Pelodiscus sinensis: one gene and its partner. The protein of the gene in region 2 purifies or fractionates together with the protein of the main gene of each other region. This does not show direct contact. Links are inferred from orthologs where the notes say so. Each region holds a gene or a part of one and is shown on either strand. Other genes may lie near its edges.

Region 1 (7,254 bases), on a different chromosome or scaffold from region 2:
GGCTTCAACTCTCAGTCACTGGCTTGAATCCAGATGCCCTGGGTCCCGATCCCATGTCACAGCTATGCACCCCCTCCTACTCTCTAAGGCAGTGGTTCTCAAACTTTTTGGCCCGTGGCCCACCCCGCACAAAGAACACTCTTCTACAGACCACCAGCCAACCACCCATGATGATGAAAGGGTGGGGTGGGGCTGCATGGTCTGGCTGGGAGGAAGAGAGGGTGCAGGAGGGAAGCTACAGGAGAGGGGTCAATGTGCATGACCTGGGAGGGAGAGAAGATGCCGGGAGGGTTGGGGGGTCAGGACATGAGAAGGATGGGGGGCATGTATCTGGCTCCATGCCTCCCACCACCCTCAGCATAGCCCACCCCACCCTGCTGCTCTCATTGGCCATGATTCCAGCCAATGGGAGCAGCGGGGTGGGGAAAACCTCCAGGCAAGCCGTTTTCTGTGCTGCCATTCCCCCATCCGGGGGAGAAGCAGTGGCAGCACACAGAGCCACTTCCTTCCCCTGCAAGCCTGCCAGGATGGCCTGCCTCTCCCCTGCAGCGGGAAGCCAGTGTTGGTGCTTCAACTTCATGGGAGGGGAAATACAGGGCTGGAGTGTTAGTGTAGGCACCCCACTGTGCGGGCAGGAGGGGGGGGGGGCGGGGTAGGCAAGCCCTGAGCCCACAGGCTGCCCGCAAGATGTTTGCAGGCCACTAGTGGTCTGCAGAGTGCACTTTGAGAACCATGGCTCTAAGGCCTTGGGCTGAAACGCAGCTGTGCAAGCCTCAGGGGAGGGGCGCCTTTCCTTTATCAACACAAAGGGGCAAACTGGCTGTGAACCAGCACCACCCTGCCCCAGTCTCTGGAGGTCAAGGGGCAGGGTAGCAGTACTAGGCTGTTATCTTCTCTGCAGTCTGGGGGGGAATAAGACTTGCCCAGTGCTGGCACGCTGGGCTAATTCCTTAGGGTGCGTGCGGCAGGAGGAAAGCGAGGTGTTCTGCTGTCCCCAGAGCGTGTTTCCCACAAGGTTCAGTTACTCTGCCCAGCCCCTGGAGAGGAGGGTGGGTGCTGCAGGGAAGAGACGGGTCTGGGAGCTGAGATGGAGCAGCCTGGGCTGTGGATCAGAGGTGTGGCCAGAGCGCACTGTGCGACAGCTATTTTCTGTCCCCCCGGGGGAAGGAGGGTGAGAGTTAGAGCCACGCTGAGGCTGCTCTGATTTATACCGGGGCAGGCCAGAGCCTGGAATACCAGGAGTGCCAAGTTAAAGCCATTTGTGCCCACAGGGCAGGTGGTTAATCAAAATCAGGCCCATGACGAAGAGCTGTCCTTGCTAAAAAGTCACGCTGGGCCCACAGAGCAACTCACCCTTTCCCAGAAACCCCACCAACTGTAGGGGATTTACGCCGCATCACCAGTGAAATTCCCTGGGGGGCAGGCCAAGCTGGGACCATGCGGTGCAAGCAGCAGGCACTAAGGCCTGGCACAGGAGCCATGACATGCCAGCTGGAGAACCAGGGGTCGTGCAGGTCTGGGGCAGAGTCTTCCCCTGAGCCCTGCCCCCATCCTTGATCTGTCCCTATTCACAACTGGGGACCCAACCAGACAGCCTCATGGGCAGGACAGACGGAGTCGTCTCCTGGGTCTGATCAGCTCTTGCCAGGGCACCGTTAGAAAAGTCCAGAGCTGGTTGTTAGCATGCTGCACAGCCCCTCTCCCCTCCCACGAGCAGGCCAAGGATCAAATCCAGCGGATCCGAGGGAAGCAATCACAAAATGAGGATCAGACTAAATGAAAAGTCAGAGAAGACACCCACCCCGACACATGCACCAAACGGGGCCAGCAGGCAGATGTTTCTGTAAATGGGGGGCAGGACCCGTTGCATTCTCCTGCCCAGTGCTGGTGTGGGCTCTGGGTCACAGAGGCAGCCCTGGAGGTGTGAGCTGCCAGGGCAAGCCCCAGGCACATGCACAGCTTGGTGTTTGGGGGAGCTGCTGGGAGGGAGTTACCAGGGGAATAGTAAGAGGCCTCCCTGCTCCAGTGGGGAGATTGGGGAAGGAGGAGTCAGGAGGGCAGGGCCCTGTTCCCTTGGCTTGGTGGGGGAGCAAGGGCTATGAACCTTCATCCTACCGGGCCACAGCACCTTGCCCCCGAAGGGGCAGGGCTCCCCCAGCTGCCCACACCCCCAGTGCCAAGCTGCCTCGAGGGCAGGGCTCCCCCCCCAGCCACCAGCACCCTGTGTCCCCAGCTGCCAAAGGAGCAGGGAGCCGCCCGCACCCTCAGTGCCCAGCTAGGAGGGGGACAGGGCTCCACCCGGCCGCCTGCACCCCCACTACCTCAGCGGCAGGGCTCCCCCCAGCTGCCTGCACCCCCGTCCCTTTCCCAGCTGCCAAGGGGACTGGGCTCCCCCAGCCTCCCGCATCCCCGTCCCTTTCCCAGCTGCCAAGGGGGCTGGGCTCCCCCAGCCTCCCCCCTCCCTTTCCCAGCTGCCAAGGGGACTGGGCTCCCCCAGCCTCCCGCACCCCCGTCCCTTTCCCAGCTGCCAAGGGGGCTGGGCTCCCCCAGCCTCCCGCACCCCCGTCCCTTTCCCAGCTGCCAAGGGGGCTGGGCTCCCCCAGCCTCCCCCCTCCCTTTCCCAGCCTCAGTGCACCCCCGTCCCCAGGACTCGCCGCCCGCCAAGGGGGCAGGGCTGCCCCACCTCCAGCAGCTCTCATGCGCGGGCCCCCGCACCGCACCCCCATCCGTGCCAAGCAGCTGCAGCCAGGGCTCCCCGCAGCCCGGCGCTGACCCTGCGCGGGCGACTCACCCATCAGCAGCAGCAAGGAGCCCAGCGCGGCCCGGGGCAGCGGCGCCCTCGCGGCTTCCATGGTGGCGAGCACCGGCCCGGCGCTGGGAGCCTTCGCCCGGGACGCGCAAGGCGGCCCCGTGCGCCGGCTCAGGAGAGGGGCGAGGTGCAGGCAGCCCAGGTCCGTTCGGCCTCCCCTGGCCCCGCCCTGCCCGACTGCAGCGCTGGGAACAGCCGCTGGGCGGCCCGGATCGATCCCCCGGCCCGGCCCCCGCCGCAGCCAGCGCCGCCACGTCCCGCGCCCCGGCTCAGAGCGACCGCAGGGCGAGAATGCTCCCCCCCCCCCCCCCCCCCGACCCTCTCCGTGCCCGGCGCCTCCCAAGCGGCCTCCCCGCGGGACACGGGGTTGCACTGCGCGCTGAGCGACCCTGGGCGGCTGTTTTACGAGTCCCAACGCAGAGGCGGCTGCATGTCAATGCTGGGCGGTGAGGGATCCGTGTGGGGCATTGCTGCGTGGCTGCTACACAGCTGCCTTGTTCCACCCCAGAGGTGGCTGCATGTCAGTGCTGGGCGGTGAGGGATCCCTGTGGGGCATTGCTGCGTGGCTGCTACACAGCTGCCTTGTTCCACCCCAGAGGTGGCTGCATGTCAATGCTGGGCGGTGAGGGATCCCTGTGGGGAATTGCTGCGTGGCTACTACACAGCTGCCTTGTTCCACCCCAGAGGTGGCTGCATGTCAGTGCTGTGCGGTGAGGGATCCCTGTGGGGAATTGCTGCGTGGCTACTACACAGCTGCCTTGTTCGACCCCAGAGGTGGCTGCATGTCAGTGCTGGGTGGTGAGGGATCCGTGTGGGGCATTGCTGCGTGGCTGCTACACAGCTGCCTTGTTCCACCCCAGAGGTGGCTGCATGTCAGTGCTGTGCGGTGAGGGATCCCTGTGGGGCATTGCTGCGTGGCTACTACACAGCTGCCTTGTTCCACCCCAGAGGTGGCTGCATGTCAGTGCTGTGCGGTGAGGGATCCCTGTGGAGAATTGCTGCGTGGCTACTGCACTGCTGCCTTGTTCCACCCCAGAGGTGGCTGCCTTTGAGCACTGGTGGAGCAACTATCAGTCCTTTGCACGCTGCTGTGACAGGGTGGGGGAGCTGCCCTGGGCAGGATGGAGGGGCCCTAGGACACTGGACACTTCCCCACTTCCTGGTGAAATAAGAAGCCTTAAACACTGAGAGAGTGGGTCTAAGGGTTAGAGTGGGGTCTAGGGAGCCAGGACTCCTGGGTTTTGGGAGGAGATTAGGATATAATATGTCGCCTGCCTGAGGATCAGAATTCCTGAGTTCTATTCCCAGCTCTGTCAGTGACTTGTTGTAGGATTCCTGTGCCTCAGTTTCCTACAATGTATAATTTAGTTGATCCTGAGCTGCTTTGCAGGCAGTTGGGAGATGGTGTTGCTAATTCATTAACATCCCTGCTGAGGAGTGAGACTTTCCTAGCTGTGCAGGAGACCACCAAGGGCCATTGTTAGGGGAGGAATCATCAGGTGACGCTTTTGTACCCAGCCAGACAAGATCTGTTTGGTCTTGTGGGAGCAGCATGGGTCTGGCCTGAAATGCTGAGTGTTGTCCCTTTGCAGGGCTGTTTTGGCTTTTAGAGGAGCTGTTGCAAGCAGTTGGCACTTTGCTCCCTGCTGGGATCTCTTGAAGGAGAGTCAATTCTCGGAGCAGAGCTGCCCCCAGGGACCGGGCATGGGTGTGTGCCTGTTGCCAGGAATGCCAGTGTTGCCGGGAACGCGACTGTTCCCGGACTGATGCACATAGCGTGGCAAACAAGTGCGCTAAGAATACACCTGAGCTACTTGACACAGGTTTCTCCTCCCCTGGGAAATTGACCTGCTAGGCCCTGAAATCTGCTACTGTTTGGGCAAAGGAATGACAACATTAACCCTCCTGACCGCGTACCATACAATGGGTTCCTGACCACAAGATCCATCTAGCTGCCTTTCAAACTCAGCTCAGCTGTATAACTGGGAAGCTCCCAAAGCCAAGAATACTCCCCTCATACACACACATACGCTCACCCCTGGCCATGAAGTAAGCCCTGGATCTGTACCCTGAGGGTAGCTTGGACACAGTCCTGCTGTGAAGGGGTTTGAAGTTGACTCCTTAACACCATGCCAGCACCCTCCAGGAACTTGGGCTATGGGAAATCCTTTCCCCTGGGATCCAGGAAGAACCTGGCTGAAGCTCATGCCGCAAACCTCAGGCCCGGTTCTGGGGAGTTTGCAGTATCCCTGAATGGGATTGTTCCTCTGCACGCTACTCCTGTAGGGACCTGGGAAGAGTGACCCAGAAATAAACCACCCAGCTCACAGAGCTCTATCCTGGGCCCTTTGGTGATTGTCACACAGCAGCTGCGATGCTGCCTTGACAGGCACATTGAGGGTTCCCTACCTGTGGCCCTGACACAGGGTGACACACAACGGCCTCTCCTCCTCCTGCCACTATCACCTCAGCATAGGGAGAAAGACACCGTCTGCCCTGTGAGATCTCCATTCACTGCAGTGGGAGGCCATTAAGTTAGAGTAGCCTTAACTCTGCTCTGTGTAAGTTACAGTAGCCTTAACTCTGCTCTAAGTTGCCCCAGGCTGAAAGCAACATCCAGCCCTTTTCAGTGTCTCAAGCAGCCTGATTCCCTGTTGTCCCCTTGTGTGCCCTTCACATCAGTGCAGGCCAAGTGTGAACACAAGGGCTATGTCTACACTGGCGCGATCTTGCGCCAGAGATATGCAAATGAGGCTAAGCGTGTCATTTGCATATCAAATGAGCTGTCATTTTTGCAGAAGAGGCTCTTGCACCACAAGGAGCTGTCTATACTTCCCCTTCTTGCGCAAGGAAAACCCTCTTGCGCAATGCCACTATGCTGATTATTTTCGGGAATAATGGCATTGTGCAAGAGGGTTTTTCTTGTGCAAGAAGGGGCAGTGTAGACAGCTCCTTCTGGTGCAAGATCCTCTTTCGCAAAAATGGCGGCTTATTAGATATGCAAATGAGGCTCGGCGATATTCCACGCTTAGCCTCATTTGCATATCTCTGGCGCAAGATCGCGCCAGTGTAGACATAGCCTGGGTGTGTTGCACTCCCCTTTGTACTGGGGTAAATGGCTGCACAAGCAGCAGGGGATACAACTTGGCCCCCATGAGTTCCAATGACAGAATAAAAGGTTGTACTACAGATCCAGCCCCGCCCTCCAGAGAAATAGTTCAGGATCCTCCCCCTCCACCCTCCTGCACTGTGCATGCTGCTCCCACCAGCTGCTGCACTGCTGGAGGTTGTTTGTAGAAGCAATTATCTGGAGCTGGACCTGTCCCAGTCAATATTTCCTGCCCAGCTCGTTGGAGTCTATTGATCCCGCCCCGGTCGATGCAGATTAATCTCCCTAGCACCTCCCCAGAGGAAACCGCAGACAAGCTGTCAAAGCAGCCGCCTGCTAATGGATTCTCTGAGCTCCAGAGCAACAGGTCTCTGCCCCCAGCAGCCCAGAGTCCAAACAGGCTGCTGGCAGGGAGCCAAAAGATCGGCCTGTGCTGGGGTGAGGCTAGCGGTGAACAGAGACTGGGCTCCCATTGAGCTGAAGTCTCCATGGGAGTTGGTCTCCAAGGGCCAGCCACAGAGGGAAGGTCTGATGGAGCAGGGAGATGGTGTGAGGAGATATCACAACCCTAAGGTTGGGATGAAACAAAAGACAGGACTATGTAGCACTTTAAAGACTAACAAGATGGTTTATTAGGTGATGAGCTTTCGTGGGCCAGACCCACTTCCTCACATCAATATGTGGAAGAAAATCGGCACAACTTTATAAATCAAAGTGATACAATCAAAAAAATGAATGCATGTGAAATTGACAAATCAAATTTTAGAACAGAGTGGGGTGAGGGGGGAAGGTTAGTGTCTGTGAGGTAATTTTCAATTTCACATGCGTTCATTTTTTTGATTGTATCACTTTGGTATATATGGTCATGACAATTTTCTTCCACAATTTGAGCTGAGGAAGTGGGTCTGGCCCATGAAAGCTCATCACCTAATAAACCATCTTGTTAGTCTTTAAAGTGCTACCAAGTCCTGTCTTTTGTTTTAGCTACACCAGATTAACACAGCTGCATCTCTATCACTATTCTAAGGTTGAGACAGAGTCCACTCACTGCGGAGGGATAGAGAGCTGTGGGTGACACTCTGCAGACAGAAGCAAAGACAGCTGGAGGGCTCTGGATGGTGGTAGGCATGGTGATGGATGGATGGATGGATGGATGGATGGATAGATGTGTGTAGAGTGGTGGATGGATGGTAGATGGGTAGACGTGTGGCTGTAGGTGGTGGGTAGAGAGACGTGTGTGGTGGGGTGAATAGATGTGTGGTGGTGGTAGATGGTGATTGGATAGATGTGTGTGATGATGGATGGAGGTTGTGGATGTTGCCTGGATAGACGTGTA
Region 2 (7,608 bases):
TCAGTGGCATGGTCCCAGACAGACACAGCTATGCCAGCCCCTATTACAGATGTCATTATACTAACAAAATTGTGCTTTGACTGGTACAATAAGTAGTCCTATGGCACCTTAGAGACTAACAAAAACATATAGGATTATGAGCTCAGCTCATCAGATGAGTTGGAGTGGAAATAACAGAATCCAAGGTGTATATATAAATGCAAAAGAAGTACCGGACAATTATCAGACTATTATGAAGACATCATCAGACATTATTGGACAATTATGAAGCTAATTAAAAGGGCTGGACGTGGGAATTTTTTTTAAATTACAGACTAACACAGCTACCCCTTAGACTTTTTTTTATTTTTTACTGGTACTGTGTGTGTGTTGGGGGGGGGATGGGACTGTAGGTGTGTGGAATACATTATACTGCTATAAGTACAGCTTTGCCAGTATAGCTACTTGCAGATTAGGCATGCTTGGCAGTATGGCCCAAGTTAAAAGTGCTGCCAACTTACTGAGGAGAGGAGAGCTGGAGCCCAGGGAAGCAAATAAATAGGAAATCCCCAGAAAACACAATCAGTTATCGGTTAAAGCAGTGTTTCCTGTGTCTATGACCAGCAAACCAGAAAAGAAGACATTTGTAGATAATCATCTTTCACTAGCTGGGGTGGGATGGGGATGGAATCATATAAACAGATTATCTTGAACAAGTGCTGTCAGTTCACACAACCAAGAAGAAATGGGTGTTTCAAAATAATATTTTTTAAAAACTTCAGACTTCACCCTCAGTGAACGCTTCATTTCACAGTTCCAGGCACTGCATTTTCTAGCTGTCAGCGGAGCCAGGGATTCCCAGGGAACCAGAATTTCATGGGAATGAAAAGGAGTTCCCAGCAGTGTCTCCCTCTAGTCTAAACTGCCTCTCTGAGATGGTGCTGCTCAGTGGTGGGGTCCGATCAATGGAAATATATGCGGTCAACTCAGTTTAAAAGTAGGGTGAAAACGGATGTATCCTTTCCTGCCAGCAAAAGCAGGGCAGGGAGGTGGTGTTCCACTACTGCACAGGCTGTAAAAAAGCTGCAAGAACCACCAATCATCTGAGACAGCCCTGGTCATCCTAGCACCAAAGCATCACTGACTGACCCTAACATGTCCAGCAATAACTGGACACATCAGCTCCAACTCAGGAAGGAAAAGGCATGAGAAATAAATAGCCAAACAGAACAAAGAACACAGCCCTTCACCCACAAAAAAACCCTGGGGGGGGGGGGCTCATAACTGGGACAAACATGTTGACCTTATTACACAGACAGGCCTATGCAACCTATTGTTCAATTAACACAGTGGTGTAGAGCTGATTAACTATTCATTGCAGGCAACTACTAGAAAACCCCTCTTGCTATGTACAGGGTAAGATTTACTTCTCAAATAACATGAAAAACAACAGGGCTCAAGTTCTTCAGACCGTTACTTAAAAACAACCAAAACCGGATCTCTTCTAAAATCTAGAGCCGTGGAAACTCAGGCAAAGATTTTCCCGAGATTCGGGGTGTGGTCCCTGCAAAATTCTCCAAGCAGGGAGAGAGTGCGAGACGATGGGAGGGGTGTAGATCGCCCTTCTATGTAGCTCGTCCTAATTTGTCTAGCTTATAAACAACTAACTGGCTTTTAACTCTCTCCTTCCTACCCGTAGCAGCCCTTTCCCAAGCAACCAACCCTAACTCTCAGTCTTAATCTCACAGCAACAGTTTCCCATTCATATCTCAAGGCTGGGAAACATCCTCCCCCACTCTGTCCGGATTCCCTGTTCGCAATACCAGAAGAGGAGGAGCACTAGATAGATTTTTTTAAAATCAGGTTTACGTGTCTCCTCATTTTGAGCTAATTTGTTTTTTAGAGCCAACTTCACTCTACATATTAGAACATTTGGCATCAAAACTAATTACACAGATAAAAAATCTTTATAGAAGAGGTTCCCCCCCTTTAAAAAAAAGGAAAGGAAAGGAAAGGGGGGGGGGAGAAACAGGTCTGACTCCAGTTTCCAGCCTCTAATCACGGGTTTGCACGCTTTAGTGATTATTTAGTGCCCATCTACTAGAACGCCAGAAGACAAATCGGTCTGCAGATGTAGTTATAACTCATTCCCACGAGCGAAACACCCTCAGATGTTATGTAACTACGCACCAGACTTAGTACCCACACCTTCTCCACTCAGCAGAGATAAACAGAGCTCCTCCATGCCTCCCAAGCGTCTACCAATTCAGTTTACAGGTGGTTTACTAACTCTGGAGGGCGTCGGTGCATTTTAACCCTGGATCAATCAACGAAAGCCTTCCGAATGTAACAGCCCGTTAAAACCCACCTCTAGATTTACGGGGATATTTTTTTTTTTAAAAAAAAACCCAATTCTGAACGGTTCCTTAGCAGGATAGGAAGAGCTCACGGCTCAGGCCCTTGTGTGTTTCCAATGCAACAACCATTTTTCCTGGGCTAAGCCTCCTCCATCTTCCAAGCCCTCTGCAGCTCCCTCATCGCTCGTAGCGGTTCGGGGCAGGAGGTTTTGCGCCTCCAGCTCACACCAAGCAAAGCCAAGTCGCCGCTCCATGCTGAGCCCGCTGCATTGTTTGGGGGAGGGAATCTTCCCCCCCCCCCCCCCAGCCAGGAGGAGAAAACACAACACAGCCCCCCACGCATCGCAGGAGACACCACGCCGCCCCCTGCAGCGCCGCGAGACCAGGGGGGAAGAAGCGCACTCACCCAAAAGACAAAATTGAAGACGAAGAGCAGGTATTTGATGCACTTGGTGCAGCCTTCCACTCCCATGGCGGCAGAGGTCGGTGGGCAGAGCTGCCTGCCAGACGGGGCCTGTTAAATCAGAGCGAGCAAAAGCGCCGCAGCTCTTGTAGAGGGTGGTCCTCTCTGTTTTCCTTTGGGACTTCCGCTGACTGGCGAGGTGCTAGGCTGTTTCTCCGCTTTATCTCCTCCCTCCTTCCACTACAGACACCCCCCGACTCTGTTGCTAAGCCAGGATCCTCCCACTCAGACGTAGGTCGTTTTTCCAGAAGAGGCTACCGCCTCCTGGGGGCAGCCAGCCCAAAGTCCCCCCGCCGACTTTCAACCCACGTCTGAAATGCCACAGAGATGATAATAAATAATAATAATAATAATAAATAATAATACTTGGCCGTTCTCAAGCAACTCTGAGAGGAGACTGATGGATAAGTAGCTCTGGGTCCCGGTTTACAAATCAAAGTGACTACTGAAAAATATATTGCTAAAGGATCATTGAATTCAGCAGTGGAGCCGCTCTGTGCCTGGGAATTTTTCCAGATGCCTGCTGGAAATTTGGGGTAGTTCAGGTTAAATCTGGCCGTTTTAAATTTGGGAAAGCTTTTGCGCATTGATTTCCCCCCCCGGCCCCATCCCCATCTAATATGTATAATTTGTATTAGACCTGATGCCACAAAACACCCTCGCATCCCCAGCTCCCTGCCATAACACCCCTGCACCCCCCCAAGCCCCAACCCTGTTCCCTTAGCCCATCATACACCTCAACCCCCTGTCCTCAGCCCCTTATACATCCCAACCTGGACTCCTGCACCCCCCACAACCCCAGCCCCTGCCATAACATCCCTGCACCCCCACACTCCAACTCTGTGCCCATTATACACACCAGCTAAGACTCCTGCACCCCCACATCCCAGTCTCATGCTTACTCATGCTTAACTATACTGTGGGGACTACTCCCATTGAAATCAATGTGACTACTTAGGGAAGTAAACTTAAGCACTCCATCTGAGGCCTAATCAGTGTAGAGTAGAGTGGAAATCTTGCTGCTTGTGTCTTGTTTATATCAGTGTTTCTCAACCAGTGGTACGAGTACCCTTAGGGGTACTCAAGAGAAGTGTGGGGGATATGTCAACACAATTGAAATTTGGAGAAAACTGAATTTTTGTTTTAAGTTTTATTGCGTTTTATTATTTTTGTACTTTTTAGACCCACAAATTTCAGCGCCCACCCTGCTACGATGAAGTTGTTTAAACAAAGGTGTTGCAATGGTAGAAAAAAATTGTGTGTCTGAAAACTGTAGGTACTGGGGGTACTTATATATATATATTTTTTGTGAAGGGGTACTTTATAAAAAAGGATGAGAAACACTGGCTTATATCACTTCTGTTTTTACATACTGGAATGAGGTTTGCTTTTTTTGCAGCAGTGTCAAACTGTTCACTTGTAGTTAGTTTGCGGTCCACTATGACTTCTAGATCCCTTTCTGCAATACCGTATATTCCGGCGTACAAGACGACCTCTGATGTTAAAAAACATCCCCCCAAAATCGGGGGTCGTCTTGTACGCCGGATGCACCGCCGCCGGAGCCCCTCCGCGGCTTTGAAAGCCTCGGGGGAAGCCGGCGGGGGGGCATCCCAGGCGCGCATGGGCTGCCCCCCCCCCCCCGGAGCCCCTCCGCGGCTTTGAAAGCCTCGGGGGAAGCCGGCGGCGGGGCATCCCAGGCGCGCATGGGCTGCCCCCCCGCCGGAGCCCCTCCGCGGCTTTGAAAGCCTCGGGGGAAGCCGGCGGCGGGGCATCCCAGGCGCGCATGGGCTGCCCCCCCGTCGGAGCCCCTCCGCGGCTTTGAAAGCCTCGGGGGAAGCCGGCGGCGGGGCATCCCAGGCGCGCATGGGCTGCCCCCCCGTCGGAGCCCCTCCGCGGCTTTGAAAGCCTCGGGGGAAGCCGGCGGCGGGGCATCCCAGGCGCGCATGGGCTGCCCCCCCGTCGGAGCCCCTCCGCGGCTTTGAAAGCCTCGGGGGAAGCCGGCGGCGGGGCATCCCAGGCGCGCATGGGCTGCCCCCCCCCCCCCGGAGCCCCTCCGCGGCTTTGAAAGCCTCGGGGGAAGCCGGCGGCGGGGCATCCCAGGCGCGCATGGGCTGCCCCCCCGCCGGAGCCCCTCCGCGGCTTTGAAAGCCTCGGGGGAAGCCGGCGGCGGGGCATCCCAGGCGCGCATGGGCTGCCCCCCCGTCGGAGCCCCTCCGCGGCTTTGAAAGCCTCGGGGGAAGCCGGCGGCGGGGCATCCCAGGCGCGCATGGGCTGCCCCCCCGCCGGAGCCCCTCCGCGGCTTTGAAAGCCTCGGGGGAAGCCGGCGGCGGGGCATCCCAGGCGCGCATGGGCTGCCCCCCCGACGGAGCCCCTCCGCGGCTTTGAAAGCCTCGGGGGAAGCCGGCGGCGGGGCATCCCAGGCGCGCATGGGCTGCCCCCCCGTCGGAGCCCCTCCGCGGCTTTGAAAGCCTCGGGGGAAGCCGGCGGCGGGGCATCCCAGGCGCGCATGGGCTGCCCCCCTGCCGGAGCCCCTCCGCGGTGGCGCGGAGGGGCTCCGGCGGGGGGGCAGCCCATGCGCGCCTGGGATGCCCCGCCGCCGGCTTCCCCCGAGGCTTTCAAAGCCGCGGAGGGGCTCCGGCGGGGGGGCAGCCCATGCGCGCCTGGGATGCCCCGCCGCCGGCTTCCCCCGAGGCTTTCAAAGCCGCGGAGGGGCTCCGGCGGGGGGGCAGCCCATGCGCGCCTGGGATGCCCCCCCGCCGGCTTCCCCCGAGGCTTTCAAAGCCTCGGAGGGGCTCCGGCGGGGGGGGGGGGGGGCAGCCCAGGCGCTCCTGGCGGCTTTGCTCCCGGTGCCTCTGGTCTGCTGGGGACCATCTCCAGCAGACCAGGGACACCGGGAGCAAAGGAGGCGGAGGGGCGCTGGGGTATAAGATGAAACCCTATCTTTTAATTAAAAAGATAGGGGGTCGTCTTATACACCCAGTCGCCCTATACGCCGGAAAATACGGTACTCCTTCCTAGGCAGTCATTAGGGTTGCCAAATGGTTTCAGCAAAAATACTGGACACACTTGACATTACATCACAATCTACATTACATCTTATTTAGAAAATACCGGCCATTTATATTTTCTCAATTTGTTTCCCGAACAGAACGCTCAAATACTGAACTGTCTGGTTCAAAACCGGACACCTGGCAACCCTAGTCATTTCCCATTTTGCATGTGTGCAGTTGATTTTTCCTTCCCAAGTGGAGTACTTTGCATTTGTCCTTATGGAATTTCATCCTATTTACCTGAGACCATTTGTCCAGTTTGTCAAGATCATTTTGAATTATAATCCTATCCTCCAAAGCACTTGCAACCCCTCCCAGCTTGGGATCTTCCACAAAATTTATACGAATATTCTATATGTAATTATATAAATCGTTGATGATGATAGTGAACAGAACCAGACCCATTACCAAGCTCTGTGGGACCCCACTCATTATGTCCTTCCATAATGACTGTGAACTATTGATAATTATTAGGGCTCGACAAACCTTTTTATCTACTCGCCTGTGGCGAGTAGATTTTAGCCGGTCGCCCTGTTCACTGGCGGTGCACACATGCGCAGTGCGGGTCTGGCGCATGCATGGTGTGGGGCTGGCAAGTGGATTTCGCCGCGGTTTGTCGAGCCATGATAATTACTCTCTGGGAATAATCAACCAGTTATGCACCCACTATATAGTAGTCCACTCTACGTTGTATTTCACTAGTTTATTAATGAGAAAGACATTTGAGATTGAATCCAAAGCTTTTCTAATGTCTAGGTAGACCACTTCTACTACTTCCTCTTATCAACAAGGTTTGCTATGCCATCAAAGAAATCTATCAGGTTAGTTTGACATGATTTGTTCTTTAAAAATCCATGTTGACTGTTTCTTCTCTCATTATCTTCTAGATGTTTGCAAGTGGATTCCTTAATTATTTGTGCCATGATCTTTCCTGTTACAAAAGTGAAAATGACTGGCCTGTATTTCCTGGGTTGTCCTTATTTCCCTTTTTATAGGTGGGCTTTTTCCAGGCTTCTGGAATCTTTCCTGTCTTGTATTATCTTTGAAAAGTCATGGCTAATGGCTCAGATATCTCCTCAATCAGCTCCTTTGAGTATTCTAGGATGCATTTCATCAGGCCTTGGGAACTTGAAGACATCTAGCTTGTACAAGTAATTGTTAATTTATTCTTTTTCTAATTTTTTTTAACTCCGGAACCTACCTTATTTTCACCAGCAATCACAATGCTAGGTGTACAATCACCACCAGCCATCTTAGCGACAACCAAAATGAAGCCATTAAGTACCTCTGCCATTTCCACATTTTTGTTATTGTTTTCCCCTCTTTACTGAGTAGTGGTTCCAACCTGTCCTTCCCCTTCTAAAACATTTGTAGAATATTTTCTTGTTACCCTTTATGTCACTAGCTAGTTTGAGTTCATTTTGAGCCTATGCCTTTCTAATTTTGCCCCATACATAGTTTTGTTGTCTGTATTCATCCTTTATAACTTGATCTAGTTTCTTCTTCTTGTGGGACTCCTTTTTGATTTTCATATCACTCATGATCTCCTGGTTAAACCAGCGTGGTCTCTTCCGTACTTCTTATCTTTCCTGTGTTGTAGGAAAGTTTGCTTTTGCACCCTTAATAATGTCCCTTTGAAAAACTGCCAACTCTCCAATTTTTTTTTCCTCTTAAGGTGTGTCAATACTGCACTCATAGCTCGAAATAATCTATGCAATTTGAGCTATGCAAATTGCATAGCTTATTTTGAGTCAACTTT

The links.
Region 1: the proteins of CD81 (region 2) and IGSF8 purify together in Homo sapiens (co-immunoprecipitation; 3 studies listed by BioGRID and IntAct, with this or other methods). This does not show direct contact. The link is inferred for Pelodiscus sinensis from reciprocal best matches to the Homo sapiens genes CD81 and IGSF8.

The regions. Positions count from the first base shown.
Region 1 is NC_134734.1:14,343,205-14,350,458, forward strand, and holds the start of IGSF8 (immunoglobulin superfamily member 8), read right to left. Parts: upstream 3,082-7,254; 5' UTR 2,853-3,081; coding exon 2,792-2,852; intron 1-2,791. UniProt on the Homo sapiens protein: Member of the immunoglobulin superfamily (IgSF) that links tetraspanin-enriched microdomains to the actin cytoskeleton and plays several important roles in innate and adaptive immunity.
Region 2 is NC_134714.1:115,680,594-115,688,201, forward strand, and holds the start of CD81 (CD81 antigen), read right to left. Parts: upstream 3,013-7,608; 5' UTR 2,809-3,012; coding exon 2,743-2,808; intron 1-2,742. UniProt on the Homo sapiens protein: Structural component of specialized membrane microdomains known as tetraspanin-enriched microdomains (TERMs), which act as platforms for receptor clustering and signaling.